Schizosaccharomyces pombe: one gene and its partners. The protein of the gene in region 1 interacts with the protein of each later gene in a biochemical or structural test. Each region holds a gene or a part of one and is shown on either strand. Other genes may lie near its edges. The genes, in order: ufd2, dsk2 and sds23.

Region 1 (11,609 bases):
CGATTGCGGGGCTTCTTCTCATAAGGATTATAATTACTAAACATAGAGGTATTGGCAGGTCAGTTGTAATTCGCGTACAACATCTTCGACTCACCACTTCTATAGTGGTACATAAATTACCGTTTCTTTCTGCGAAAAAGTGGGTTAGAAGTTCGTGCTATTACTTCTAAATAATCGTGAGAATTTAATTCAATCGTAGGATACAAAGCTGTTCATTATATAAAACTATCAACTTTCGAATATTCTATGGTGTGGATATAATTTTCATTTATCTTTATGAGTAAAAACTATACATATCATATTTACAATTAAAAATCTTCTTTCTTTCTACTATATGGATGGATATTTCGAATTATGTTGACAATTTCTACTTTGATGAGAAAATTGCTTCAGCATTTGAATTAGGTAAGCGTTTAGTAGTTCAATAAGCTTGCACATAAAAAAAAAATATTGGGTTTTTGTACCGGGATCTTAAAAGACGGAATTACTGACAGCTTTAGGAGAAGTAAGCACGGTTGATTTGTTAACGCTGGATATTACTGAGCTAGAAAGACGCACACATTGTAGTCAAAGTGAGTTATTACAGTTAATTGAGCAGATATCCCTCCTTCTTCAACCAGTAAGATGTTCTGCTTCCAAAGTCACTTCGAAATATTTGACAACTGGCGATGTAAAGTTGGATGAAACTCTACATGGAGGTATACCAGTAGGACAGTTAACTGAAATATGTGGTGAAAGCGGTTCAGGGAAGTCACAGTTTTGTATGCAGCTTTGTTTAATGGTTCAACTACCTCTCAGTTTAGGAGGAATGAACAAAGCAGCTGTCTTCATTTCTACAGAGTCCGGTCTTGAAACAAAACGATTATTTGAACTGGCGCGTTATTTACCAGAAAGGTATCCCAAAGCTGATAAGAAAGACATAATTATAAAAAATCCAGGAGATAGGGTGTATACTATATTATGCCCAGATCTGGAATCTCAAGAACATATCATTCAGTATCAACTGCCGATTTTATTCAATCGGGATAAAATTGGGTTGGTTATATTGGATAGTGTCGCCTCCAACTACAGAGCTGAGCTCCGTTACAACCGATCCAAAAGTCATTTTAGAGATTTAGATAATATTGCCAAACGTGGAAATCAATTGGGAAAGTTAGCTATGACTCTACGCACTTTAGCTCATCAACATGAAGCTGCTGTTGTCATAGCTAACCAAGTTAGCGATAGAATTCCTAGAGATTATGATGCTATTGGGTTGTTTAGTTTAGATTATCAATCGCAATGGTTTTCGGGATGGGATGACACAGATCCAAATCCCAAAATACCATCTCTTGGTCTCGTTTGGACTAATAACATCAGTACGAGATTAGCATTAATTAAGAAAACCGACTCTGCCACCAATAATTCGGGGAGAATCTTTCGGGTTGTTTATTCACCAAATTCTCCAAGGCTTGACGTACGAATATGCATAGGATCGGTTGGGATATATTCGTGCTAGCATTTTTGTAAAAATTTTATATATAATATAATAAAACCGGTTTATGAATTGCCCTAACTTTGTTTAATCGACTGTCGCTTATCAATCATTCGCAGAAAGAAAAGTAATGCTTTGAGTAACTGTTACATATATAAGTGTACTTATTTATCTTTATATTTATATTACCTCTGTCACTATTAAATATATATTTTGTTGATCTATGATGGTAGTGCATTTTTATTAGAATCCGACATACTTTAGTGGACTGAATTTTGGATATACCAGTTGGGTATTGAAATGGAAAAAAATACAATAAAAAGTTTTACACGTAACAAAGAATGCCCAAAGAGCTCTCTTAACCGACGAATGGCTTTTTCTACCTGTTTTTACTATTGCGCGTAAAAGATTTTGTAAGACCTTTCCGATAGCTTCCGCTATTGGCGATCCTTTAGAAATTTGCACCTAACATTTTTACCAAAAGCCAAGTATGCATTGGTGATATCTTGTAAATAAAAAATGAACATTCTTTTATAACATAATCGTTACAAAAATAGAACACAAAAATGTCAGTTCCAATTGATCGAATCAATACGGTTGACACTTTAGCCAATACACTGGAAAGTAATTTAAAGTTTTTTCCAGAAAAAATACATTTCAACATCCGGGGCAAACTAATAGTCATTGATCGCGTTGAACTTCCAATATTACCAACTACCGTGTTGGCACTTCTATTTCCTAATGGGTTTCATCTGCTTTTAAAACATGAGGGAGGTGATGTCTCATCATGTTTCAAATGCCACAAAATCGACCCTTCCATTTGTAAATGGATTTTGGACACCTATCTACCATTATTTAAAAAAAGTAATAATGCTTATCCCTCAAAAATTGCATTTAATCCTATATCGAATACTACCCTCGTTTTATTCTTAACAGAATGTTGCAATATCTATTTATTTTCTGAAAATAAAAAGCCCGTCGACCAAAAAATCAGGAGCGACTTATTAGAGCAAACTTTCAAGAACAACGACGTTTTTGAAAGTGCAGACAAAAAAAAAATCCGAAAAGGGCTGAGTGATGGACCGCTAGTTGATGCATTACAGCATTGTGGATTTCGCTACAACGATAAATGGGCCAAGAGAGTAAAGGAGCCAAAATTAATGAGCTTAATGTCGTATATCATAACAACAGTCGAGAGCTCCTCATTAAGCGAAGAATTTTTGAGTAAAATTTTGAAGCTATGGGGACAGCCAGGTAATAAGTGCTGGTGGATAAACGAAGTTATAAAAGTAAACGGATCTTTAATCAATGTTTGGAGGAGAAAGCAGTGGTTGTTGGAAGTTACGATTATGGGAAATCGTGAAAATTCTCAAGACTAAGTGTTTTAGTAAAAATAAGATTAAAAAACATTTTGCTAAGTTAGGCCGTGCATGCAGCCATTCTTTTAACAGATACCAATGTTACGAGGTTTCCCAGATTTTACTCAAATTGCGTGATAATTATTGTAGTATATTTATTTTGAATAATAATTTTTTATTTGAATTTTGTTAATACTGTTTTTTATAAATATTACAATACGTTCAATCTAGTTGTGGTAACATGAAAGTGCTTCCACTTACTTGATGCTCTCTACGCAAGAGTATGCCTAATGAGTTTATTTCCCAATCGCTTAGTACTCTTACAAATACACCCTTAAATATTCAGAAAAAGCTATTACCAATCACCAAATACAGTATGTAGCTGTTTTACCCTTACATTGCTGACGTTACATTTAGGAAACCAGTTGTTATATGCAGTAGAGCAAAATCAGATTACTATAGTGTTAGGCCACACAGGATGTGGTAAAACAACTCGTAAGTATTTTGATTAGATGGTTTATTAAACTAAAAATAATCTTGAAGAAATCCCTCAATTTTTATACGAAGCTGGATGGGCGTCCCAAAACGGTATTATAGGATGTACACAGGTTAGTCACAACTTTGTTTATTTATCATCCTCCTAACTTATTTGAAAGCCCAGAAGACTCGTAGCAAAGAGCGTCTCTGAACGAGTATCTTTGGAACTGAACTCTCCTCCTGGAAGTTTGTGTGGATATAGCATTCAATTTGATCATAACGTTTCTGAAAAAACAAAAATAAAATATATGACCGATGGAATCCTTTTGAATGAAATATTTTTTGATCCTTTGCTGGAAAGATATTCAATAGTCATTCTCGACGAAGTCCATGAACGAACTTTGTCGACAGATCTCCTACTAGGAGTTTTGAAAAGGTATTTAAATTTTCTATTCATAGCTGACAAATCAAGGATTTTAGAAAAGAGGAATGATTTTAGACTTGTGCTCTCCAGCGCTTCTGTTGACGCGAATAAACTGTCTCAGTTTTTCGGACAAGATAAAGTATGCACTATGTCAATTGAAGGGAAATTATTCCCCGTAGAAACATTATTTTTGCAGAAACCTACAGAAAATTACGTTGATTCTGCAATCGAAACGGTTATAAACATTAATTCAACCTATCCGCCTGGTGATATATTGGTTTTTCTTTCGGGAAGAAAAGAAATAGAATACTGTATAAAAAAGATTGAAGATTCCTTAATTCATGCTTCCGAAGACTGTCAAACTTTAGTTCCTTTACCTTTACATGCTGGTCTTACTGTTGACGAGCAAATGCGAGTTTTTAACATATATGATGGTGACTTCAGAAAAGTTATATTTTCTACGAATATTGCTGAGACTAGTATTACTATTGATGGCATAGTTTATGTCGTTGATTCAGGTTTTAATAAACAACGGATATACAACCCGTATACAAGGACTTCAAAATTGATTAACGTGCCTATATCTAAGTCAAGTGCTATACAGAGAAGTGGAAGAGCTGGAAGGACAATGAGGGGAAAGGTGTTCCGTCTATATACTGAAAAAGCTTACAGCTTGATGAAAGAAGAATTTGAAGCAGACATCTTAAATTGCGATATGTCACCGTTGGTGTTATTTTTGAAAGGTTTAGGGCTAAAAAACATACTTCAGTTTCCCTTTTTTGTCCGTCCTCCCACAGTTCACCTTATGGCGGCTCTAGAGGTTTGTGAATTTTATTATAGCCGGCAAACAACTAATTTTTTTGAAGGACCTCTATCTTTTAGGTGTCTTGGACGAAAGTGGAAATTTGACAGACCCACTTGGCATACAAATTTCCAACTCATTCTTGGATGCAAACATCTCCAAAGCTGTACGTACTCCCATATAGGAAATAAAGTACACGCTAACCCATCATTAGTTACTTACTTCCAACCAATTTGGTTGCACTCATGAAATTCTTTCAATTGCTTCAATACTTACAGCAGGCGAAGTATTTTATAATCCCACAAGTTCATCAAAGAATGATGCCTTCGTTGCCCATTCTTCTTTTTTTGCAAATGAAGGGGACATCATTACCGCATTAAATGGTATGCTTCATTAATAAAGTTTAAAAGTGTATTAACATTTAGTTTTTGAATCTTTTGTCGGTAACAAAAAAGATTTACAATGGTGCAGGAAAAATTATTTGAACTATCAAACTTTGCGCCAAGCCCTTGACATTCGCACTCATTTGGTTCGTTTTTTAAATAAATTTTCTATACCTACTGCTCAAAGATTACCATCCAGTGATTGTTCCAAAATTTTGAAATGCCTACTTGATGGTTTTGTGCGTAACGTCGCACATTTACAGAATGACGGCTCTTACAAAACAATAGGAGGAAAGCAGGTTTGGTTAGACTCTAGTAGTGTACTTCATGAAAAAAAAACACCATGGATCATGTATTCTTCAGGTAAGCCTATTTGTTATAAGACTATTTTAACGTTTTAGCTGTCGAATCAGAAACTCAAATATTCGTGAAGAATATTTCTAAAATAGAAAGTTTTTGGCTGGATAAATACTATAAACGAGAAAAATAATATATGTTAATACAATTTCATGTTACCGGTTTAGCATAGTAAGTTTTGGTAGTTAAAACATATGTTGACCTCACTTCCACCAACTTGCTCAATCCACCCCATTATGAGTGATTTGGAAAAGGTAAGAGAAAAATTTCAGCTAATTGCTAATATTGGCCCATAGATTCGTCTTAAAAGGCTTGCTAAATTGCAGCAGACCAATTCGGAGGCAAATTCTTCTAAAGAACCTAAGGAAAGCAATATTGCACCTGAACCTAAAAAACCTGATTTAAAAAAGAGATTTATTGGTTCAAAGGCTACAACATCAAATTCAGAACAAAAAGAAATATCTCCACCTGTTACATCTGGTGCTCCAAAACATCGCTTGTTTTCTAAGGATGAATGGATGCATTTTATAACATGTCAGGCTCTTAATATTACATTAAGTGAAACTGATTCATCAAAATACTATTTAGAAGGTTTTAAAAAAGATTTAGAAGAAGAGGGATCCCCTTTATTATTTAATGAGAATAATGTTGACTCTGCGTTACTCTCTCGACTGTCAACAACTGGCAACAATACTTTCTCTTATTTGTTACAGTCTTGGAGTTTTCTGTATCAGTATAAAAAGAGACTTCCGAAGGATGAAAACCAGGACTTTAAAATTCACTATTTATCTCTGTTAAAAAGTTTGCTTGTCAGTTATGCCGGTATTGTAGTAATGCTTCCTGACACATTCAATTCGGAGACAATTGATTTGGCCGAGGTTTTAATTGGTGCAGAAGGTATACCTTTGGAATTTCTATCAGAATTTGTTCAGAGGTTTGAACACGAAAACTTAGATGAATTGTTTATTCCTGTGTTGGAATCTTTATCTTTGAAAATTGGTCTTATGAATGTAGATACTGTTCAAATGAATGTGATGCAGGTATGAACATCAATTTTTATCTTTTAGCATAAACTGATATTTTTAGATTATATTACAACTTGTGTCATTAAAACCAATTGCATTACTTTTGCCGAAGTTGCCTTCTTGGAATCCTACGAATAATGCTGGAGAAATTGAGTACAAAACGTTTCTTGGAAGAATATCAAGCTTGTCAGTGTTTACTCAAGATGTCGCTTCTCGATATTTTTCCAATTCTACTGAGAGATCAGCCCAAAATATATCTTCGTCAATAAGTTCTTTAAAATTGACTATGTCTACTTATCAGGATGTCCTTTTTCAAATTTTCAATACCCTCATTCGAACATCTACATCTTTGAGAGAGTCTGTGTTGGATTTCTTTGCCATGGTGGTAAATGCCAATCACAAGCGACAATCCATTCAAGTTAATCATTTTGATATTACATCTGACGCCTGCATGCTAAATTTTTCACATGTGTTAAGCAGACTTTCTGAACCATTTCTTGACATAGGATGTTCGAAAATTGACAGAGTACAAGTTGAATATTTTAGGAGAAACCCTCGCGTTGATATCAAAGAAGAGACTAAATTGAATGCTGATCAAAAGGCTTCGGAATCGTTTTATTCAAAACCAGCCGAGGGTTCCAATAACTTTATTTCAGACATATTTTTTTTAAATCTCGCATTTCATCATTATGGTGTAAATGCTACCTTTAAGGCTTTAGAGCAACTTGTGCAATCAATTCGTGATAGCGAGAAACTGAAAGAAAGATTAGAGACTGAACAGCAAAATATGAGCGGTAGTTTTCAAGCGACACGTCTCACTGCTCAATTAAGTCGGCTTGATCAAAGATTGGATTTAGATAGATCGTTTGTGCACTGTTATGAGATTATGCTTACGCAGACATCTGATACTTCAAGATCATTTTCTTTTCTTAATTTCGTTGCCATTTGGTTATCGAGGTTAGCTGATGGTCAATCTTCGACATATCCAAAAATGCCGCTATCGTTACCGTTTAATGAAAATGCACCGGAAGCTTTCAAATGTTTACCTGAATATTTTATTGAAACCATTACAGATTATATGTTGTCTTTATTTAAAACCTCGTCGAGTACTTTGACGCTGCATTCCTTAGAGCCTTTGTGTGAATTTTGTGTGTCGTTTCTAACTCAAGCTAATTATATCAAAAATCCTTATTTGCGAGCGAAACTTGCCGAGATTTTATACTTTGGAGTGCAAACGCACGTGGGAAGATCAGAATTGTTGTTAGATGTTGTACGTACGTCGAAGGTTGCAACAAGGTGGTTACTTCCAGCACTTATGGCGTTTTATATTGAGATTGAATCTACAGGACAATCTACCCAATTTTATGATAAATTCAACATTCGTTTCTATATATGCGAAGTATTTAGAACTATTTGGAAGCAACCAGCCTATTTTGGTAAGCTGGAGCAGGAGCAAAAAACAAATTTGCCGTTTTTTGTTAAATTTGTAGCTCTCATGCTTAATGATGCTACATATCTTCTTGATGAGGCTCTTTTAAAACTAACCGAGATTCACAACCTTCAGAGCCTTTTGGCAGATGCAATAAGCAATAGCAACTCTAACCAGAATGTTCAAGAATCGCAAAGCAACTTAGCGGCCGCAGAACGTCAAGCTTCTACTTATTGCCAGTTAGGGAATGAAACTATTTTTATGCTCAAATTGTTCACTTCCTCAATTCCTAAAGCCTTTTGTGCCGTTGAAATTGTAGATCGGTTGGCAGCTATGCTAAACTATAACCTTCAAGCTTTATGTGGCCCTAAGTGTAGTAACCTCAAGGTAGAGGACCCAACGAAATATCATTTTAATGCAAAAACCCTTTTGTCGATTATTTTCGATGTTTATCTTAACCTGTGCAATGAACCTGCATTTGTCGAAGCTGTTGCTCACGATGGCCGTTCTTATAGTAAAGAAATATTTGAACGTGCGACTAGCATTATGACTAAGCACAACCTCAAGTCATCTTTTGATATAGAAGCTATTAAAGAATTTGTGAATAGGGTAGAGGCATTCAGATTGCAAGAGGCTACTGAAGAGGAAGACATGGGTGATATTCCTGACTACTTCTTAGATCCTCTTATGTTTACAATAATGAAAGATCCTGTTGTTTTACCGAGATCTGGCATTTCGATTGATAGGTCTACTATTAAAGCACATCTACTAAGTGATGCCACCGACCCATTTAATCGAACTCCATTAACGCTTGATGATGTGACACCGAGTAAGTTTTTTTTTTCCACTGTTAGTTACTAATTCTTTAGATGATACATTACGTGAGGAAATTAACACGTTCCTGAAATCAAAACGCAACAAACATTCGCGAAATAGTGAATGAATATAACTGTGTTTATACTAGTTTTTTAATGAAAGGCTTCGATAAGTTTAAATAAAAGATTAGACAATTAATTACTATGAAATATTTAAACATTCATGGAAACTCATTAGGTAATGATTCGAAGGATAAAAAACTTGGTGTACGGTACCACAAAGGTTAAGCTCGTAAAATAATTCCTTTGCACAAGAGGATAAATGAATATAGTGAATCTAACAATACAGAATGTAATTAATAGAACGCTCTTATACACCATAACAGAGATTGCATTTCATCAGAGTAAGATACAGTGCTTCTTCTTTTTTGTCTTCGGTACACTAGCAGGCTTAAATTTAAGCATGGAAGCACGAGCTGCAGTCTCAAAAACCTCATTGACCCCTTCGTTCAATTTCGCTGAACATTCGAGATACTTATAGGCGCCAATCTTTTGAGCTACTACCTGTCCTTCTTCAAATGTGATAGGCTTCTGTGAGGTTTTGGAGAGCTCTTCGATTGTTTTTGGATCGTTTCGTAAATCCACTTTACACCCAACTAGCAAAATGGGTAAATTGGAGCAGAAGTGAAGAACTTCAGAAATCCATTTTTCTTGAACATTGTCCAAACTCTCTGGAGCATCAACTGAAAAACAAATCAAAACGACGTGAGAGTCTGGATAGGAAAGAGGGCGTAAACGATCGTAATCCTCCTGACCAGCTGTATCCCATAGTGCCAATTCAATATGCCTTCCATCAACCTCGACATCGGCAACATAATTTTCGAAAACAGTAGGGACGTAAACTTCAGGAAAAGTTCCTTTGGAAAAAACACTAAAATAATTGTTAGTAGATTAATCGCTTTAAAAACACAATTGTTGTTTAGATAAATCAAATTCACATTTGAAAAGCTCGATAACAATGAATAGAATTTCTAAAAGGGCAAACGTACATCAACAAGCATGTTTTACCACAAGCACCATCGCCAACAATAACCAATTTACGACGGAGCTCAGTAGTCATAATGTCGAATAAAAAATTTCTTTTAAAATAAAAAATTGTTGCAAGTATATCAATAATTGGTTCGTGAACGCAAGGAATTGCCCGCTTTGAAAAAATCGATCTCAACTACCAATGTAAATATAAGGCGACTGATAACTCAAGCAACGAATAAATAGGGGGCAAAGCAAAAAGAAAATATAAGCGGCGTCTTAGAGTAATTTAATTGTAAAAAGAATTGTTAAAATCTATTCAATTGAACTAAATTTCAACTTTCCTTTTATAAATTTATGCAAACACACAAGTGGAGCAGCCCAGTAAAACCGACCTGATGGAAAAGATAGTAGTTATAGCTTTTTATTATGTTTAAAAAATCCTTTGGCTTTTATCTATACAATATTTTATAGTAAATTGCTAGTATACTTTCGAATTTTAAAACGTAAACAATAGGCTTTGGTGTGGTTACGAGCATGCTCCCCCTCTTCCAAGATACATACAAACCACGTATTGCGTTATATTGTCGTATATCTATTAACGATTAATAAGGAATATGAAAGAAGCTTGATAAGTTTCATTGCCTCAGCCGTTCAAAATTCATATAAAATTATTTAGCAAAACTCCTTAGCTACGGGATCAGTGCTACTTCATGAACGATTAAAACAGCACTGAATGTAAAAATTAGTGTTTATAGTTTACCTGTGAAGGATTTAAAATTATAGAAGAAAAAATAGAGTGAAGTAGTTTTCAGTTTGGGTTCTACTGTGTTAAAAAGATAGTAATTGTACAAAAATTGAAAAATCAACGTCTTGCATTTACGAATTTGACCAATTTTTAATAATTTTTGGCAATGGACCAGGAAATTAGGTCGAATAATTATGATATTTCGGTTTCGACAGTGGAGGACACGAGTTTTGAAGCAATGGATGATTCTATATTGGAAATTATTGATGATGAAGCACCAGAGATTCAGGGAAAACCTAAAGCAAATATATCAACACATTTCCGCAACATGCTAGCAATGTTTGGGAATTTCCTTTCCCTGGGGTTTTTTTTAGTCATAATAGTTTTAGTAGGAATCGCCTTTGAGATTGGCGGTCGGTTTTGCGGTTTGGTAAGTTTAGGAATGAAGTTATTTCAACATTTCTTTCTTTCTCTTTCTTAAAAAATAAACTAACATAAATTTAAAATAGATACTTACACTTGCACTAGAAGTATACTTTTTCTCTACTGCTTTGTTGAAGCTGTTTGGGCTTCGAAAAATTGCTTTAACATTACATTTCTTTGAACCTCTTTTAGTTTTTATTCTATTAATAATAGCCCTTAATGCATCACCAAGCATAGAGCAGAATAAATATGCCTCTTTTCTTGCTTCTGCTTGGAACACTGCTCTACTACACTTTACTCCCCTATTTAATTTGCTAGAAGGAATGGCGTCGCTTTTAGTTGTACAAGCTCTTGGCCATCTAAGCCGTTGGTTGGTCCATAATAAGTCCGAAAACTGGATGGTACGTATATTTTATACTTTTATTTATGCCTACGTTTGTTAACTTAAACGCAGTTCTTTATTTTGCTTAATGCTAGTAGTGCCATATCAATGAGCCTCTATCTCCTCTATCGTGTATCTTCTTTTTCTATCTCCAATCCTAATGCATTAATGATCGGATTTTCCCTTGCAACTGTGATTGTAATTTCTATTTATGGTGTTGCTTCTGGACGTGCAAATTTATCTGAAGCATCGCTAATGGTAATTGTTATTTCCTTATTTCTGATTTTAACATATTTAGTTTTTGTATATTGCATACACCGTATATATGGTTTGTACTGATTTTGGCAATCCAAACACTAGTTCTCTTGAGAAACCAAAGTTTGATTATCTTCCTCCTAATATACTTCAAAGGTAAGTTCCAACATGTTTTACTTATTCACTATTACCAATTTCTTGCTTTTTTTTCGAGCAGTCGAATTTTAA
Region 2 (9,714 bases), 1.2 Mb from region 1:
GTCATCAATGCGGTTTGACATCTGTTCTGCTTCAACAGTTTCAGTGTATAATTTCGATATTAAAGCACCATTGTCTACTAAAGTTCTATCCCAGTCAGAAACCTGGTCACAAAGCTTATTAAAAACTTCAGTTTGCGTAGTCAAATCAGTAGACCATTTATTAAGGATTTCCTGAAGAGTTTTGTGTTTGATAGAAGATGGAGGAGGCTCAGAAGGAGTAGTGGAGGCAGTAGCGCCCGGCTTGGCGCTGGGATCGGCAGGTTTATTACCAAAAAGGGGACCGGTTTTTGAAGTAGATGTTGTAGTATCAGTTGCAGGTTTACCAAATGAAAATCCAGAGCTAGTCTGATTCGCACCTTCTGCAGGTTTCGTATTGTTCGAAAGTGGCGGAGCTGAAGTTGCTGTTGTGCTAGTATTTTCCGTAGGTTTTGAAGTGTTTCCAAAAGAAAATGTTGGCTTATTATCACCAGTTGAAGTAGCCGGTTTTGTAAAAGCTGAGTTGGGAGCAGTAGGTTTATTAGTATCCTCTGTAGTTGCAGGTTTTCCAAAACTAAATCCAGTACCAGCTGAAGATGTGGTGGTAGTACCTTTGTCCGTTGCGGTTGAAGCTGCTTGGCCCGCAGGCTTACCAAAAGAGAAACCAGTAGTTGGAGCAGAACCAGTGTTAGATGCAGCAGGCTTTGAGTCATTGGTTCCCGTAATGGAGCTACTGGGGGTGACAGTAGTGTTAGATCCTGGAGCTGAAGTAGTTGCAGGCTTTCCGAAGCTAAAGCCTGAATTAGCAGTGGTTGAAGTGGATGCATTATTAGTAGAGCCTAAACTAGCAGGTTTTCCAAAGCTAAAACCTCCGCTTCCAGTAGCAGGTGTCGTAGAAGTAGAAGAAGCTGGAGGGGCATTGCTTGTAGTCCCTGTAGCAGCAGGCTTCCCAAACAAAGAACCAGTACTAGCGGCTGCCGGAGTCGTCGTATTAGTCGTAGAAGCGGGTTTACCGAAATTAAAAGAATTATTTGAACTTCCAAAATTAAAAGTACTACCTGAAGGATTAGTAGTTGCTGCACCTGTAGCAGAAGAAGCGGTGTTTTTACTTTTATCACCAGTAGAGTTAGCAGACCCGGTACTTCCTAAACCTCCGAAAAGAGGTTTAGCCCCAGCAGTATTGTTGGTATTAGTAGACCCAAACGAAAAAGGTGAACTCGTTGATGCATTTGTTGAGTTGCCTGTAGTCGCTGCTTTACCAAAAGAAAAGGTACTGGGAGCACTGGTGTTACTCGCGTTATTAGAACCAAATAAGCCTCCAGACGGCGCTGTAGAAGAGGTATTATTATTTGTGTTTCCAAACAAGCCAGTCGCCGCAGGAGTTGCTGCTCCTTGCGCAGCTGAATTCGGCTGCGCAGGTTTCCCAAATGAAAACCCTGAATTCTGGTTATTACCTGGGTTGAAAGCTATTGATTTTGTTAGCAAATTTTAATAAATTCCAAGGGACCAGCTTTGCCGCCTCTTACACTTACACATTGATTTGGGTCTTGCTGAAAGTTGTATCAGGACAGTGAAATGTTTATGGCGTTCGGTCACAACTCGGTGAATTCGGAGACGTCGGTAACCAAAACGGAGAACTGGGTCACCATTCGGAGTTTTTGGGACCTGAAGAAAGGGTCCACTGAAGCTCACCGAAGATACTTCTTTTACATAAGAGCGTCATCGAACGAGTGGAAAATACCTAACCAAACCCAACAACATGACCAATATATCGTTGACTATTAAGGCGGCAAATGATCAAAAGTACGCAGTTACAGTTGATAGTGAATCTTCTGTACTTGCATTAAAGGAAGCCATTGCGCCTGTAGCTGATATAGAGAAGGAACGACAAAGACTGATTTACGCTGGTCGCGTTCTGAAAGATGAAGAGTCATTAAAAACATACAAAATTCAAGATGGACATAGTATACATTTGGTAAAAACCTTAGGACAAAATCCTGCAGCCGCCGCCACGAATGTATCGGACCGCACTCAACAAGTTCCAACGAATATTCAAGCAGGTCAGGGTGCTAATAATCCTCTTGCCAATTTAACTAGCGCTCGTTACGCTGGATTTAATATCCCTATGCCATCAGCATCTATGTTTGGTCCTAATCCTGAGAATCCTGTTCCACCCTCGACCGAAGAGCTTGCCAATATGTTGTCTAATCCTATGGTGCAGTCTTCTATTAATGAGATGTTTTCAAATCCTCAAATGTTGGATATGATTATTAATAGCAGCCCGCATCTTCGTAATGCACCTCCTTATGTCCGTCAAATGATGCAGTCCCCTGAGTTCCGTCGCGCGATGACTGATCCCGACACAATGCGCCAAATGGCTCAACTACATCAACAAATGGGTGCTGCCGGTATTGACCCTATGTCCTTAATGGGGGGTGGTCTAGGAGGAGCTGGCTTAGGCGGTTTAGGTGGAGCTGGTTTAGGTGGATTTGGAGGGGCTAATAATGCTACAGCTGGTATTGCAGGTGCCGCACCTGTTGATCAAACTGCTGCTGCCAACACCATTCAAAATTTATTAAATAACTTGGGAGGAGCTGGCTTCGGTGCTGGTTTGGGAGACGCCGGTTTGGGAGCTGGCCTTGGGGGAGCTGCCTCTCCTCCAGCTCCTGCTCAAGATACTCGCCCTCCAGAAGAGCGTTATGCTGAGCAATTGAGCCAGCTTAATGAAATGGGCTTTGTGGATTTCGAGCGTAACGTTCAAGCACTAAGAAGAAGTGGAGGAAACGTGCAAGGTGCTATTGAATCTTTGTTGAGTGATCTTTAATTCCTTTGTTCGTTTCTAGAATATATCAATCAGGCTTATTGGTGTTCATATATTTCAAGGATAATACCCTTTGTATCAAGACTTCCCTCTTCCCTTTTTCCTTTTGTAATAAAATTTATACGGCCCAATCTTTTGGTGATATTTAGATTATTATGCCATGCTTGCAAGTTTTGCCAGATTTACCTGAACAAGACTTTTAGTGACTTTACCTGGAAAGTCATCGTACTCTGTTTTATCGCGATGATCATATTAATCGATTTGAATGAATATGTTTAGTCGTTTAATTTAAGTACGATGACGAATTCTATATATGCTTCTCCTAGATAGAAAGCTTACTTGTTGTGTAAAAATAAGTTTTTTCTAAATTGTCAGTTTACTTACGCTTCAGTGATTTATAATGTTCAATAAACGATAGCAGTTTTAAGATACTAAAAAAAAAGAAAAATACGTCTGTTTAACATTACAACTTAATTATGCTTATGAAAGTTGAATTTCAAATAATAAAATGATATAGACAAAATTGTATTAAGATAGTTTATCCTTAGTCCCAAAAACTAAATTCCAAAGTTCCGTCCGATGACAAGCGTATAGTTCAGCAAGTTTAAAAATCAAAAGTGACAATGGGCAAGAAATACTTTGAAACATCCCAGTATCGACGCTTTGCGCCTTTCCATTCCTCGTCTTTACTACTTACGGGCATGGATTCGTATGTACATTGAAGCCCGAACGATACAAGATCGATGGGGACCAATTTTTTGTAAACATCGTAAAATGTTTGGTTGTCGGCGCCCAATCCGTTAAAAAAGGAGAACTTGGAATCTGTTTCAGGATCTAAGAGACCAACAACTGAATCAAAGAAGTTTCGAAGATCTTCGTAGCTTTCTGCGAAAGCATCATAGTAGATGCCATCGAAAACGTATTTAGACGCAATGTCGTTAATAGCGTTCTCCCAAGTTGTCTCATATACAATCACATTTTCACGATCCATCCAACCGTTTTTACGCATATGTTTCAGAACGTCCGGATGGGGCTCAATGATCACATGAAGCGAAGGCTCCTTTTCCTGAAGGAACGTATCTATTATTCCAAGACCAAAGCCGACATTCAAAACACGGCGGCCCTTGGTTGGTGCAATAATTTCAGCAGAACGATGCATTATTTTTCGTTCCCAACTCATCATAACAGCGTTTGCATCACTATCCAAAAGGCTTGAACTGTCTTCTGTAGGTTGCGTATAGGAGAGTGCACTTTGCAAGTATTTTTCGTTAGTATCCAATTGTTCGTTTGTAAGTTCCTTCCTCTCTAAGAGAGAAAGTAATAGCTCTGATCGAACTCCAGCATCCACGATTGTTTCGTACAAGCGCAATAAATTCCTACGACGTGCAATGCATCCAGGAGTTTCGTTAGCTCTATCAATACCATTCCAGACTCCACCATTAGAAAGGATCCATTTCGTTACTTCAATAGCTTGAACCTCTGTCTCCTTCTCAGCGTATGAGGCTATAAAATGTAAAGCATTTTTGCCAGACTCGATATCGATAGCTGAAGTAACTGCCCCCTGATCCACTAGATTTTGAATTTTTTTTAAATCTAGTTGTTTGGAGGCTTCCAAGAGACTTAAGGACTCTTGAGATTCTTGGAATTCCACCGATTCATTCACTAGTGGAGCGTCCATTTTAATATGAAGATGGCAGGTATTTTTTACTCGTAGCTTTAAGCTGAATGCTTTGCTGGACTTAGAAATTAAGGGATTTTTTTGTTAAACAATAAGACATTTTAGATACCGTTGTAATCATTTACATAACGAAGATGAAATAAAAATAAAAAATTCTTCTTTGTTCTATCAAGTGTTTCAAAGACATAGAATGTACTCATGAGCTATAGGATAAAGAAAACTAGCAAGGAAATGGCATTAAATAATTAAAATTATTCTACCTCGATATATTGTACAAATAACCCATCTGAAACATGCAAAAAGAATAGCATACCGTTGATTTATTTTAACTTCGGCGATGTAGTATTACTAAGGTGTGCTTATGCAAGTTAGAGAAAGAAAGAGTTAGTTTATCATACACAGTGTTTATGTTAACTATAGTGATAAAACTTTTTAGATTTGTTAGATGATAATTAAAAAGCATTAGAAACTTCAAAACGACAAATCGGGAGAGGAAGCATATAGAATAGCAGTTTGTTTTAAAAAAACCAATTCAAATTACATGCTGCCATGAGTGTAGAGATCTAAGCTCCAACAACAAAATGAGTACGGTAGAGGGGAAATGTTTTAAAAATGAAACAGATCCAGAAGAAGAACCTTTTTGACGTAGCTGTTTTGGATTATAGGCTCAAGGGAGGTTCAAAAATTCAAGTTTTTAATTATGATTATAGAGGGAAATATTAATAGTAAAGAAATTAACGAGAACAGTAACCACCGTCAACAATAATGTCACTACCTGTGCAGTAGGAACTAGCATCGGAAGCAAGGTATAAGTAAGCACCGGGAAGCTCATCAGGTAGACCAATACGGGCTTGAGGAGTATACTCCTTCCATTTCTTACGCAAGTTTTCATCAGCGTACAGAGTCAAATCTGTGTCAATGTAGCCAGGAGACACGGAGTTGACACGAGCGAAAGGGGCCCACTCAACGGCAAGAGCGCGAGCCAGATGTTTGACAGCAGCCTTGGTAGCATGATAAGAAGCCCATTGTTGAGGCCAATTGGCAATGTGACCACTCATACTAGCCGTGAAGATCAAACTGCCCTTTCCTTGCTTCTTAAAATGATGGCCAGCAGCCTGTGCAGTATAATAAGCACCGTTCAGGTTTATGCCCACGACCTTGGTCCAGATGTCTTCATTCTTATCTTCCAAGGATAAGTGGGGAATCGCAATACCAGCATTAGCAATCATTACATCCAAACGACCACCCAATTCCTCAACTGCCTGGTTGGTGGTTTCAATTACAGCACTACGGTTCTCAATGGGGCAAGAATAAGCCTTGGCTTGAACACCATGTTTGTCGCGTAATTCAGCAGCATACTCAAGAGCCTTTTTGTTACGACCGTACAAAAGACCAACATTAGATCCAGCGGCAGCGAATGCTTTAGCAATCGAAAATCCGATACCGCCTGAACCACCGGTGATGAGAGTGGTTTTACCTTTAAGAGAAAACATAGAAGTCATTATGAGATATATGAAAAAAACCGAACGATGTAATAATTATTAAGAAAAAAAAAACCCCACAAAAATATTTTAGCGAACAAAAAGTGGTAGTAAAATTTATGAACACCGGTTTAATAGCTTTTGATTAGATGAAAAGCAAAAATTTTTTTCCGAAAGATTTTTAATAGTAAGAGAAGGCACTCTTGGCAACCAGAAAGAAAAATTGCTTTGTGGCAATGGACCCAAGGCTTTTATACAAAAAATTTCCTCTTTTTGACACACAGAAAGAGCAGTCCTAAATAGTGTTGTTGGAAAAAATATATGTGTAAATAAACGATTTGCAAAGGAGGAAAAAAATAGCGCAAATAGACAAAACGGTCGTTTTACTCGAGTGACACTAGTAGATCCATCAAACCGATAATATCGGGTATTGTGATGGCTGAGTGGAAAGTTTGAATGAATAACTGCGAGAAACTAGGCTACACACATAGGAGTCAAAATAGTGTAACCCGCAAAATATAGAAATCCAATTCATAAATGTGAGAATGACAATTCATTTATTATAAATTGGAAACTCATTTCATCTTTTCTTTTTTTTTCGTGAAATACTACGAGTTTCTCTTAAATCCGGGGAGAAAGTACGGATAAAATCCCATGATTAAGAAGGGGAGCGTCGGACGACAAAGGTAGCTTAAATTAACAAATGGCCAAGTGATTTTGGCCATTTGGGGTATGATTTCGCTTCTCTCGATCAAGATGCAAGCGATTAAAGAACTGGACTCGGAAGAGGAACCAAAAGTTGGCGAGTTCTATAAGGGCAACACAATTTCGTTTTGCAAAAATTCGCTTGAAAATGATACTCAATTACCTCAAATTCTCTTCTGCATTAATCCTAAATCCATCCGAAATTTTCTTTTTCCACCCATAGCAATATCAGATCCGAAAGAAGCTCAAAATCACTGTTCGTCTTACTATTATATTAAGTACCGGTATTATATTGTACAGTCAAGATGCGGGATGATGGGAAGAATGTCTTTTTAAATATTATCTAAAAAAGGTAATAGTTACATGTTAATAACTATATATATATATTTCCAGACTATACTAGTAAAGTAACGGTTGAAAAAATGTGTAAGTAGAAGAACTATTAAACTTAATTGCGTTCAGTAGTTTCTGCATGGTTTTTAACTAAAACCATGTTCGATATTGTTAACTATTAAATATACTTATTCAAAAAAAAAGAACACCAGATTCTCCTGTCACGCATCTAGGTTTCCAGTTTTTCATCTGTTCCCTCATTAACGTTCTACCAGTTGCCCGCATTGTTCCAGAAGATCAACCCAAATCTGAACGAGATGCAATAGCCTGGAGACTACCAGAGTCTTCATTTTACCCGACCGAGATCGTTTCCATGGTCGGAATCGAACACTGGAATACTTGAGACTTGGCGAAAAATGAGTATTATACAAGGGAAGAAAAGAAGAAGAAAATAAAAGGATAATTTATGTTTTACGGCAATAAAATAATGAATTAATAAGCAAGAAGTATTAAAATGGACTTTACCACTAATGAGGTTCTGTTTAGTAGGTTAGTAGTCTGTAAAAATTTGACAAGAAAAAATTTTCCGTTTCTTCAATTGAAGGGGAGCTCCATTTTAAGATTTGAATGGTCTGAAGAAATGTATAGATTGTATATATGGTTGTTACCGTACCGAAAAGACTATAATGAAAAGTTTAAGGGAATTCTAATAAATCCTTCTATTTTTCTTCTTGGCTGTCATCATGTTCAAATATGCAGTTTTCCGAACAACCTTGTATTTTTCATGGGAAAATGCGATTTGTTTCGTTTTTGTTAGCTTTGTTTGAATACCATTTTTTAACTTATGCGATACTTTCTAAACGGAGTTCACTTTTTAAATTAATCTATATCAACTGAGCCGTTCAATTCAATCCCTTTTTTTATATCAGCTTGTAAACAAACGTTTCAGGAAATGAGAAAGTTCAAAAAGCGTTAAACAGTGAATGCTTGTATGTTGAGCTTTGACTTGTTTGCAAATGTTTAATTGTCGAAATTCATCATCTGTATCTGTCCAAAGTTGTGAACTGACAAGATAGAGATTAATTTGTTAGATCACGCAAAGTACGATATGTTTAAAATGCTTATACCAGGTTGCAGTCTTTGTTTTTCATAGCTTTGCAAAAAAAAAAGTGGATTAAAATACTAATGACTACTAGGGTTCGAAAGGTTGCTGTTCGATTATGAAAAAGCGTTCACTCTTTTATCTCCCAAGCGATGATTTGAATTTTTGATGCATCTGTGGCGTAGAATATGATCAATCATTTTAGAAAACAGAATAATATTCAAGGATCCATTTAAAGTCCTATATAGAGTAAAGGATTTTAGCTATTATCCTCACATTGAAGACTGGTCCCATTATACCGAAGTCTGTTGACATTAATATCGTTGTACCGGCTTTTTGAGTAGACTAAATATCTTGTACAGGATCTACTTTGAAAGAGGGTATTAGGTCCTTTTTTTATTTTTTGTTTTCCAAGGATTAAGATAGAAGCTGAATTTTTTTGGCTAGGCAAAGTTGACTAATTATTAACAGACTGTGGTTCGAGTGATTAGCAATCAACCTATCCTTATATGAAATCGTGCTTTTAACAATTTCGGTTGTTGGGAGATAACTGTGTGTACGGAGAATCAGAAATTTTTGTTTTGGAAAATATTTGTAAAAGCAATTACGTCTAAATATAATGAATTACGCGCTAGAAAATTTTCATATAGCTGAATCCCGAAAAGCTCAACCTCCCATATGATTGAGCATCCATAAAAGCATGAAATTTTTGGTACAAGTATCGGTGAATCGTAAATTTAGAAATAACTGAGCAATTTTATCTCATACATAATATAGGAATGAAACGTTTGTCGATCAATAACTAGTCTGATACTTGATGCAAACATTTAATCAAATACCCTTTTTTAGGAATTTAAGGAAAGGGCTTTAAAAGAAATTGAAAACTTAACTAGAACTAGCTTTTCTTAATCGTTTCTCGTAACTTATCACCACACGCTAACATTAGCATTCCTTTGTATTCCAACGTTACCTACACTGCAGTCAAGGAAAATCATCCAACCTAACATTATTCCTTTGCATATCGCGTCCATTTTATTTTCTACCATGTCAAATACTGTTAGGAGCTTAGTCATCAAAACTAATGTCGTTAAAAGAATTATTAAAGATGTAGAAGTAAGTTTCCTTTTTGGATCGCGATTTTGTAGATGGAATTTTCTGACCTCAACAATTGTTTAGTTGGCTCATATCGATATTAACGAGGCCGAGAAACGTGTACAAAGTAAAATTGATAATGGGGAAGATTCTGCAGAAATTGAGCATCAGGTATGTTGCATTAGTTGAAACCATATAAACGTTGGACGTGTTGTGCTAGAAGATGTTTCTACCAAGCTGAAGATACTTTTCGGTGGTTTCCGCTTTAGCGTATCTTTTTTAAAATAAAAAATAATCAAAGTACTGACATTCTGGACCTCTAGAAATTTGTTTTGAAGAAGCATCTTGAGGCGTTGCCAGATGCTCTTGTACGTCTTCGTAATGCGACGAACGACTTGGAATCCATTTCTTCTGACAGTGCATACGAAGGAACTCCTGAACTTGAACAAGCAAATGAATATTTAGAAAAAGCAAAAGAAGTAATTGAAAAAGAGCAAACGAATTTCCCCACGAATGGGTACCACTG
Region 3 (9,849 bases), on another chromosome or scaffold:
AAAATCCTTTGCTGTCACTATGACTGGGTTTAATCTGAGAACGGGCATTGTTCAAATAGCTCCCATAAATTTGCAATTGAGTTTGAAGATACTCATTATGGTCACATATAGCACGATGAACATCCTGTAAAGCATCACGTTCTGCACGTATCCTTTCATAAAGGGCATCGAGGTCTATAAATTCCTTTTCGACCTCAGAAGTTAAAGGCTCATAACGGTTCTCCTTGTCAACCAAACGTAAGGTTGACAACTCATCTAAAAGCTCTATTGCACGTATGCCCTTTTTCATTAATGACATACTTTTTAAGGACGAAACACTGTCAGCAATTAGTGGAAGGTCTAGAGGCACCCTTGTAGCTGGATGGCCCGATGGCAGAAGACGTAAAAGTTGAATGAAAAGCGTTTTGGCATCGACGTATAAAATATCTTCGCGGGTTACCTTTAAATTTTGTTTTAAATCAGGAATTGAAGAATCCCATCGATTATAAAGAGGAAGTGTGACAAGGCAATTGTCTTCCTGTGGAACAGATTTACACGGCTCGCCTAATTCTTGAAGAATTAAATGAACATGACTATCGGGATCATATAAATTATCCAAATTCTCCAAAATGATTTCGTGTGTAAGGTATATTTCATTGACGGTCATCTCAAGTGCTAAGCTCTTCTTTGATAGAGCTATATATTGGTCAAGTTCCAAAGCCTCGAAAAAGTCACCGACGTTTCCAAGTTTACGCAAAAGATTGTGAACTTTTTCTTCATACTCTTTCAACATAGGTTGAAAAGAAACATCCAAATGTGTCTTCGTAGAACTTGTGCCATTGGCAACACTTTGAATAATTTTTGCAATAGTAGCAAGTGTTTTGCGGACGTTATCAGATGGACAACTGTCTAAAAGCATAGAAGTTTGTGGCGAAATAATAGCTGGATTAACGAAACGAAGAAAGAAAAATCCACCTATTAAAGAGCAAATAGTGCTGTCTGAAATACTAGGAAACAGACGATTTGTCAGATTGCGAATTAACTTACAGACCCAGCGAATACCATATGGAATTTCGTCGATGCTGTTAAGAACAGCATCTAAAAATCGTTTTGTCAAAAGCAATAATTGAGCAGAACGCTCTTGAATTGCATTTTTTACAGCAGGAAACTCTGAAACTTCCTCGTTTGTTAATAAATTATCATCTTCAGATGGTGATAATTGACCGGTATTCACCAAATAGCGATAAACTGAAAGAGGATGGATGTCAAGCTGCAAATCAGGATGGATAGCAACGTCATTAATGCATTGGTAAAGGATACTACGAAGATATGCTTGTCCGGGTCCACGACGTGTATAAGTTGTAAGCATTCTAGATACCGGAGTATTAGCCCTAAGCAGAGACAAAACGTCAGAAGTGGCCTCAAATTCGGTGGTTAATACCATTTGAAAAAGAGATAATAAAAGATGCTCTTCTCTACTCTCGTATTGGTTTCCGTATATATTAAACATAACGATTTGTAGAAGTGCATCCATGTTAAAAAGCTTGACGCGACGAACAAGGCTAGCGATATAGGCTGGTTCAGACTGAAGTAAAAAAAACAACGCTCCATACAACTGAAGCTTACGATCGTCAGGAAATGATCCTTTTACAGCATTGTAATTATCATTCAGTCGTTTTGCAAACTCATGCTGTTCTTCTTGTGCCATTCGATTTTGGATAAGAAGTGCAATTTTGGAATCAAGGTAGCGTACATCCCTCTCGAGGACGAAGTTTTGTTTGGACTGACTGGATATTTGTTGTTTGAGATCATGCAATTCACGATCCAAGTGGAAAAAGGCATCCTCAACGTCGGACTCCATATCAAGATCGATTGTATAAAGCACAGAGGTGCTTTCACGATTCCTTAACAAGGACAATCGATTTGTTTGCGGAAGCACCGACGAAGATAGGGTACCAGAGTGCCGCTTAGTCATTATAAATTTCAATAGCTAAAAATTGCCTAAGTAGCTAATGAACAAGAGAGGGTAGAAAAAAAAAAGAAAGAGTGTAGGGATCAAGTCAAAGTGTAAAAGAAGAAAACAAGGATGGATATTATACTAAGTTTTCAAACAAAAAAAAAATAAAATAAAAGAGAAAATCATCAAAAGAACGTTATTAGAGGAGATCGGACAGAACCTATTGGTTCTATTAGCAAAACACAGTATTAAGACCCACTGGCGCCCGATTAAACGATTAAAGAAAGCGAAATTCTTCCAAAGAAAAAAGAAAAGGATATAGAATTTATAACGTTATTGAGCAATTCAATAGTATTTGAGCAAAGCGTCCGAGTACGTTAACGTGAAAGGACGTAGGTTCAATGTGACAAATCTGGGAAAAAAAGAGAACAAAGAATAAAATGCTTGACAAAACACAAAAACAGGGTAGCAAAATGATATTGGACGAATAAAATTTAACACAATACTAGTGAGTGTTGTATATGAAGGTAGATGTATATGTATGTGAAAATAAGTAATGCTTTGTAGATGGAATAATATATATAAATATTTAATATTTATATATTTTTAAACAAAAATTAATAACTGGCTTGCTGAAGCAGCAACAAAATAAAGATGAGAAAAATTAAAAATTTTCAAGAAAAGATACTCGAGAAATTAAGATTATTATGTTGTGATATGAGATATCAGAAAAAACAAGGATGCTTGTTTAATTTTATAGTCTTTAAAAGCGTCTTTGAGGATTTCTGTATGTACGAAGTCTTGGGTAGAAAGGCCGACCAAAGGGTAGCGACTATAAGCGATGTAAGGTTTAATGATGTGGAAAAAAAAAATGCCGACTTAGTGAAAGTAAATATGTTACAATACAAAGTGGTGAATTAAAAAAAAAAAAAAAAAAGAGAGAGAAATGTAGAAATTTTATACATGAGAATATGTTAAACAAAGGACAAAATCTAATAATGTCTGCTTAAGACTGGTAGGTACATGTCATAGAAATAATTTACAACGTATATCAATTAATTCAATTGAGAGAATATCTAGTACGAAACGTTAAGTGCTTGTTTAATATGCGCCTGAAGTTTTTGTTTGGCTTGAGCTTTGTTTACATAGCAAGGACAAGACAGAAGCTATTATGGTATTTAGTGGAAATTCATTGTTTAATAAAGTGCGCAGCATTATATCAGATTTCCAACGTATTTTAATATTCGATAATGTATTAATGATCAATTAAAGAAACTCTAACTAATTTTTCAATTGGTAATTCGTTATTTGTAATGATTCATTTATAGATTTATTTTATTTTTTTTTATTTTTTTTTTAATTTTTTTTTTACACTAAGCTACTGGCAGTTTGTACGTTAAGCAAATACAAAGTCGCACGTGGGTGTTTTACCAAAAAGAATTGCGAGTGAATAGGATAAAATGGACGATGAATTTGTAGATTTTTTTTACTACAATTAATCAATGAAAGGAGTAAAAATTTAAAAAAAAAAAATAAAAAATAAATAAAAAATAAAATTAAATAAAGGACAAGATGAAAACTTATTATATGAATTATGGATTTACTTTATTTTATGCTCTTACAAACCGTAACTGGACTGCTGGAATTTCTTCTACTAGATGAGCGTCTATTTGTGTCCTATATATTTAAATTTTATTTTCTCAAATTACATATATATATCAATATGTTATTTCGATTATTTTCGATTTTAATTTTGATATTTTGGAAATTCACTTTATCTTCTACATAATCGCATTTCCTATATCAATCATCATCATCATTTGGACATCTTGGATCCGCTAATTATAGTAACGTTGTATTTTCACTTCATATATCACACTTTACCATTTAACTTTCTTATGGTACGTCGAGTGAGACACAATCGATACCTTGTGTTCTTCAATAGCTATTCCCACAGCACATGAGTCTTTTTACGTAACCCAATAACCTCTTCCCCGGAGTGATCTGTAGCGGACCATTTACTCAATATTGAAACTTTTTAATTACCACGTTGAATCACAAATTGCCAACAAAACACAAGCGCTTTATTTATTAAACGCATCTGACGTTTCAGTATGTGAATTTCTATTACTAGTAGTATGGTATTTTGTCGCACTTCAAATTTGGCCACCGTTACTATATGAGACGAAGCAATACGTAGCAGTAATGTATTTAGTACTCATTTATCAATGAAAAAGATCAAAACAAGAGATTAACTGAGTGATATTCAATAGGATTTGCTAAGTGAAGAGATGATCAAACATTTAATGCTGACTTGGTCATCTCCAACCTATATTACATAGATTTGATTTCTCCATGTTTGGGGAGAGAAATTAGACGAAGGGGTGGATTTTCATTCGTTTCTTCGACAAATAAGTCTTGAGCAAAAGTCCACTCAAAATTCGAATGATGTATAGCGCTATAGCAGTGGTAGAAATATCTGTTGTTTATGATTGCCAATTTTGCTAAGCAATGGTAATGATGATCATCTGTGTAAGTACTATGTATAATAATTAGAGAACTGAGTACCCAATATTATAGCATGCATTATTATGCTTACAGTACGAGATTACTCTCAAACTAACTAATAAAATTAATTACTTGATGACTTGACTTATCTATTCTCCTGCCAAATTATCAAACAACATAAAGAGTAAATTTTAATTTTTTTTTCAAGATTGGGTAGATGCTGTTCGGTATCGCAACGTTGAATTATGTATGTTTCATACTGCGTCTTAATATTATTTAGTACATATGAATGTGTTGACTTTGTTCATCCATAACTCTAATTCAAAAGCATTTTTAACAAACAAAGCGCTTTATTGCTCCATAGGCGCGCCTCGTTTCATCTAATCACTTCATCGTTGCACACAAATTTTTGTTTGCCTTTTTGCAATGACAAAATTAGGATTTTGTTGTGCAAAACCGACCTACACTGCATCTACAACTAGAGCAGCTGCCCCACTTTCCCACTTTATGAACAAGGAAAAACGTCCGATTAACCGCTTGGCTATTTTTCTCTCATACTAAATCCATCCTTATGTTTAATTTTAATTTTTAAATTTTTAAAAAAGAATAAAAATTTTTTTGCCTAGTTTTACCTTGCTGGGATGAAAGCGGGCAAGCAATGAAATAGTGGTTGATTGTGATGTAAATACTGAAATCGCAGATTATGAAATTTTTAACTAGGCCACATACATGGTGGATTAATTAGGTAGACGGTGGTATACGGCGGGATTTACAGAGATCTCAGTCTAATGTGGTAAAGAGGTCGTGGATTAAAAAAGCCTTACCACTGCGTACCCCTATTTCGTTGTATCACTAGGTACTTCCGTCACTGCCTACCTCAACGCTATCCAGAACCACACACTGACCTAGATTTGACAAACTGCACGGTACAGTAAGTTTTGTTGTATGCAGAGGAAAGAAAGAGATTTTAACTGGAAAACTGTATAGAATGCCTTTGTCAACTCAATCGTCTGATTCTTTATCGAGCGCTGGACGTCAGTCCTTTGGCGTGAACTCGGTCTCAGATTTTTTGGCACAATTTCCCATTCCCACTAATCTTCCTTCAAATAAATGGCAAGATATCCCTGTAACATTTCTTCATGATAATGAAATTGCTCTCATAGACCCGGAAACTTCCATGGAAGAGGCAAGTTCCATTTTGATCGACCGAGATCTTAGCGCCTTGCCTATTGTTGCTGCTAAGGGAAGCAACGAGATTGCTACGACCTTTGACTATGCAGATCTTAACTCATTTTTGCTCATGGTAGTGGGTTTTGATGATTTCAATGATGGCAGGTTTAAAAAGGTCGCTGAAGATATTCGTGCTGGAAAAGTCATTACTGCTTATGAGGTTGCAAAACTCGGGAAAAACAAGGATGACTTTATCACCATCCCTCACACCACCAGCCTTGGACGTCTCGCTGAGATTCTTTCTTCCGGTATTCGTCGTGTTGCCGTCACTAACGAACAGGGTGAATTGAGCTTTATGGCTTCTCAGCGCTCTATCATCCGCTTTTTGTGGAATAATATTCGTGCGTTTCCCGATTTGGAGCCTCTAATGTCCAGGACAATTCACTCTTTGGACATTGGAAGCACTGACATCACCTGTATCTCTGGAGATCAAAAAGTCGCCGCGGCCTTGCGACAGATGAATCAAACCGGTATTGGTTCACTTGCTGTTGTCGATGCTCAATTCCGGTTACTTGGCAACATATCTCTCGTTGATGTTAAATACGTTACACGTTCTTCTTCTGTCTATTTGTTAAACAAATCATGTGCTCACTTTTTGAGTGTCATTAAAAGCGAACAGGGTATCCGCGCTGGTAAGGATAGTGCTCCTGCTTTTAACATCTATGAATCCTCTACTTTTGCTTTTACGTTGGCTAAGTTGGTGGCTACCCAATGTCATCGTCTTTGGCTTGTGCAGTCACCTTCCTGCCCTCCTTCCCCAAAAAATAACGCACATCTTTCCCCTGGATCCATGGGTGGTGTTAAGGTCAATCAATTGTTGGGCGTTGTTAGCTTAACTGATATCATATCTGTTTTATATGCTCACATGAAAGGCACTCTTCCACCCGCTCCCCATAGTGCTCCTTCGCTTAGACATGGACGTCGAGGAAGCACAAGCAGCCATCGTAGCCATAGCAAAGCTAGTGTAGATACACAACGTCGGTGATGCTAAATATTTGATGATTTGAAACACCCTTTTTTCTTTTTCTCATTTGAACCTCCGTTTTATTTCATCTTTTACTGTTACCTCTAACATTCCATATTTCATGAACGGGTTTTGATACTTATTTTTAATCATCTTTAAATGGATAAGATTTTGGTTAAATCTCCAATGATTTCTTATTAACCATTAAAAATATACTTTTACTTATGTTTTGACGTTAACTGACGGACGCTTTTCTTTATACATATGTTCTTATTAATGAATTGTCTCCCGTTGTTGATTTACACGGCAGCAGAGTAGCTCTTTCAGAGGGTTAACTTTTATATCAGAGTTATGATTGAAACTTTGCCTCTTGATATATATTATGTATCCATCTTAGCAGCACATTACTTTATTTTTTTGTCAAGAGTGTTTTCGGCGCTAGTTTTTGCTTTTTACAGCTTTGCCAACTTCCATAATGTTAAATACGTAACAGTTTACACAGAATCACAGAGGCGTAATCGAATTGTTTGTAGTGTACATTTTCTTTTATTTTCCAGAAGTAACAAAAAAAAATATGTTTTTTAAGTTTTGGGCCCTTTAAACAGTAAAATAACATGTTATGGGGAGATAGAATGGATGTTCATATAGTTCTGTATAAATTAATGAATTGTGACAGAACTACGATATTCAAAATTTCAGTAATGCAATAAAATAAACCATAATACTAAGCTATCCCGCCAAATAACTATCGAGAGGAAACGAAAGTGAATCTGCGATTTTTAATACATATTCGCGAGAGACATTGACAATGTATCTAGGGCTATCCAAAGAGCGAAGCACACCTTTGGAAGCCGAAAGTATCATTTTTAAGGAGGCGAGTGTAGCTATTTGAACAAAAACATCAGCGGTCAGAACTTTCTCTACCGGGGAAGAAATGGCATAATAAATAGCAATCAACCTTTCTACTTCAAAAGGTTTAGGTCCTAATGTAAGTTGGGATATTTTTACAGCAGACCGGCCTTTGCTCCCAGCGGTTCTTGGTATTTTGGAAAATAAAACCCCTTCATCTTGAATTTGTTTACGTTTTCTTCCACGTCGTTTCGAAGTTTTAGAAAATGAAAAAAATTGGGCGTCTAACCGGCTTGGATTATAAGATGCTAGGAATGCAGAAACGAGTAAATATTTGGAAACGAGCGACAAGTTAATAGATTTGGAATCAAGAAGATTTTTTATTTCAGTCGGGTTGATTATGTGAAGTCTTTTAGTAACCGTAGCATCTGACACTAAAAAGTTTTTAGCCAGCTTGTGAAGTTGAGCATAATCAGCAGGATGTATGTCTCCTTCAACTATAGGTTGAATGAACTTTGGCCAATATCTATCCAAAACACTACGAAAAGACCTATAGTCATTTAAGCACTGCACTCCAAAAACACTCCAAAGAAACGAGCAATATTGCATCCAGACGCTGAGCTCAATTTCGTCTTCAAAAACACTATCGCCAGATCTATCCAAAAAATCTAAATTAGGAGGTGTTTTTTGGCATATCTCTAATATTTCCGCTTGGGTATATTGTGGGAAAAAAATCACTGCAATAGACAATGTTCCCAAGTATTGAGCAGGGTGAGAATGAAGTACAAAAATGATTGACAGATTGGGAATGTTTGCCTAAAATAGTTAATCAGTGGGTCTGTAAATATTTACTTACAACAATCGGAAGCTGAGCTAATTGTGAGAATAGAATAGTAGAAGCCTCAGCGAAATCATCTATTTGATCCAGCACCTATAACTCATATTAGTATTTAAGAGTAATAAAATAGGAGAGGAACTAAGTACCAAAAATGTATGATAGTCCCTTTTGGACATTGCCTGTTCCAGTAAATAAATAAATCCACTGATATTAATGCCTTTTTTTAATGCTATATCTTTGTCAACACCGACTTTTATAAGGATCCGGTACCAGAAATGAGCGACTGTAAAACAGTCTTGCAAATTAATCCAAACATTTTCTTCTTTTGACAAATCAAAAGCGGTCCGCAATAAAAAAGTCTTTGCTGTACTAGCAACTCCGTAAAGCACAATGCTTGGAACACGACAATCCTTATTAAAAAGTAAACATGAAAGTTTCTTTATTTGATCTTCCCTGCAAAAGACATTCTTTTTTAATTCGTCTTCCAACTGATACAAATGCATTTCATGGCAATATGCTTATGCTTTGGCATATGGTGTCGTGCAGTGAAACATTCATCGCTCGAAGCAAAAACTAGTGGACTAATTTATACAAATAAACGAAAGGTAATTAATGGAAAACGAAGAATAATATTCGTACATTTCAAATACAATTTAAACTTTGGAATTATTGAAATCTTAATTGATTGTTTACTATAAGCGTTGTACTTGGTTCAAGGTGTATTTTATTGAGAAGCCTTGTCGTAACAAAATGTGCTTAAACAGTTATTCTAAAATAGAATTATAAAATTTTATTTTTTGTAATATATTTGATTAATAGTAGTAAAGAACAGAAGTTCGTTTCGCTTGAGTTATTAGAAGTTTTCTTTCTCCTAGCTAATTCACTTTCAATACTAACTTCTTCACCGCTAATGCATAGCCAAAATTATTTTTGAATAAATGGCCTAGTGCGGAGTACGTAGAATTAAATATTGCTTAGATTTAATTTGTAATCTAGCCGTTAACTGTTTTAAGTATGTTATTAAAAAAATCAAAATGCATTTTTTAGTAATTGATATGAACTCATCATAATATCCGAATTTCAGTGTATTACATCTTTTCCTTTGTCTGAATTTAACACAGCATTCTTTAGTTGTGAAATTTAAAGTCTTATTTAAACCTTACATATCTGCACCGCAGATTTCAGATACTGATTGACTCATGTATGGATAACGTTGCTAATCTTCGTAGCATGCAATGTTGAAGCTTTTGCTTTATTTTCGATAAAAGTGTACTGAGTTTTATAGAAGAATGAAGACTAATCATCAAAGCAACAAAAGACGTAGTAGATAAATGAAATACTAACAATACTGAAATCAAGAGAGAGAAAAACACCGAGTTAAATAAATAAGAAAAGGATTTCTATAGGTTCTGGTCATCAAGGCTTCCTTAATAGTTTCTAACTGAATGAAAGGTTAGTAGCAGTAAAAATATCAATATCATACCAGAGGATATATAATTTTCGAGACTTTTTTGTCTTTCCTCA

Evidence for each region.
Region 2: the proteins of ufd2 (region 1) and dsk2 form a complex in vitro, tested with the Schizosaccharomyces pombe proteins (one study listed by BioGRID).
Region 3: the proteins of ufd2 (region 1) and sds23 form a complex in vitro, tested with the Schizosaccharomyces pombe proteins (one study listed by BioGRID).

What each region holds. Positions count from the first base shown.
Region 1 is NC_003424.3:2,122,952-2,134,560, forward strand, and holds ufd2 (ubiquitin-protein ligase E4), read left to right. Parts: upstream 1-5,489; 5' UTR 5,490-5,511; coding exon 5,512-5,529; exon of another isoform or gene 5,530-5,537; intron 5,538-5,571; coding exon 5,572-6,315; intron 6,316-6,361; coding exon 6,362-8,558; intron 8,559-8,598; coding exon 8,599-8,672; 3' UTR 8,673-8,762; downstream 8,763-11,609. Other genes in the region: rad57 (DNA recombination mediator, RecA family ATPase Rad57/Rhp57), read left to right, coding at 339-405, 501-1,498; whi2 (phosphatase activator), read left to right, coding at 2,041-2,853; gih35 (ATP-dependent RNA helicase), read left to right, coding at 3,116-3,206, 3,250-3,327, 3,376-3,440, 3,489-3,745, 3,782-4,553, 4,600-4,701, 4,750-4,918, 4,961-5,281 and 1 more; Rho family GTPase Rho5, read right to left, coding at 8,944-9,475, 9,594-9,664; family protein ICE2, read left to right, coding at 10,488-10,751, 10,831-11,145, 11,199-11,384, 11,425-11,537. UniProt on the Schizosaccharomyces pombe protein: E4 ubiquitin chain-elongation enzyme specifically involved in polyubiquitin chain assembly.
Region 2 is NC_003424.3:3,368,008-3,377,721, forward strand, and holds dsk2 (UBA domain protein Dph1/Dsk2), read left to right. Parts: upstream 1-1,719; 5' UTR 1,720-1,735; coding exon 1,736-2,800; 3' UTR 2,801-3,377; downstream 3,378-9,714. Other genes in the region: nucleoporin Nsp1, read right to left, coding at 1-1,442, 1,509-1,512; rmt2 (N-methyltransferase), read right to left, coding at 3,402-4,475; SPOM_SPAC8E11.10 (sorbose reductase), read right to left, coding at 5,210-5,977; SPOM_SPAC8E11.12 (uncharacterized protein), read left to right, coding at 6,689-6,997; SPOM_SPAC8E11.08C (uncharacterized protein), read left to right, coding at 7,509-7,811; tubulin-specific chaperone cofactor A Alp31, read left to right, coding at 9,141-9,209, 9,273-9,359, 9,512-9,714. UniProt on the Schizosaccharomyces pombe protein: Protects ubiquitin chains against dissambly by deubiquitinating enzymes thereby promoting protein degradation.
Region 3 is NC_003423.3:945,449-955,297, forward strand, and holds sds23 (protein sds23), read left to right. Parts: upstream 1-5,328; 5' UTR 5,329-5,375; intron 5,376-5,431; 5' UTR 5,432-5,432; coding exon 5,433-6,659; 3' UTR 6,660-6,844; downstream 6,845-9,849. Other genes in the region: GTPase-activating protein Gap1, read right to left, coding at 1-1,954; origin recognition complex subunit Orc5, read right to left, coding at 7,368-8,303, 8,344-8,418, 8,472-8,828; Pex16 family peroxisome import protein, read right to left, coding at 9,753-9,766, 9,809-9,849.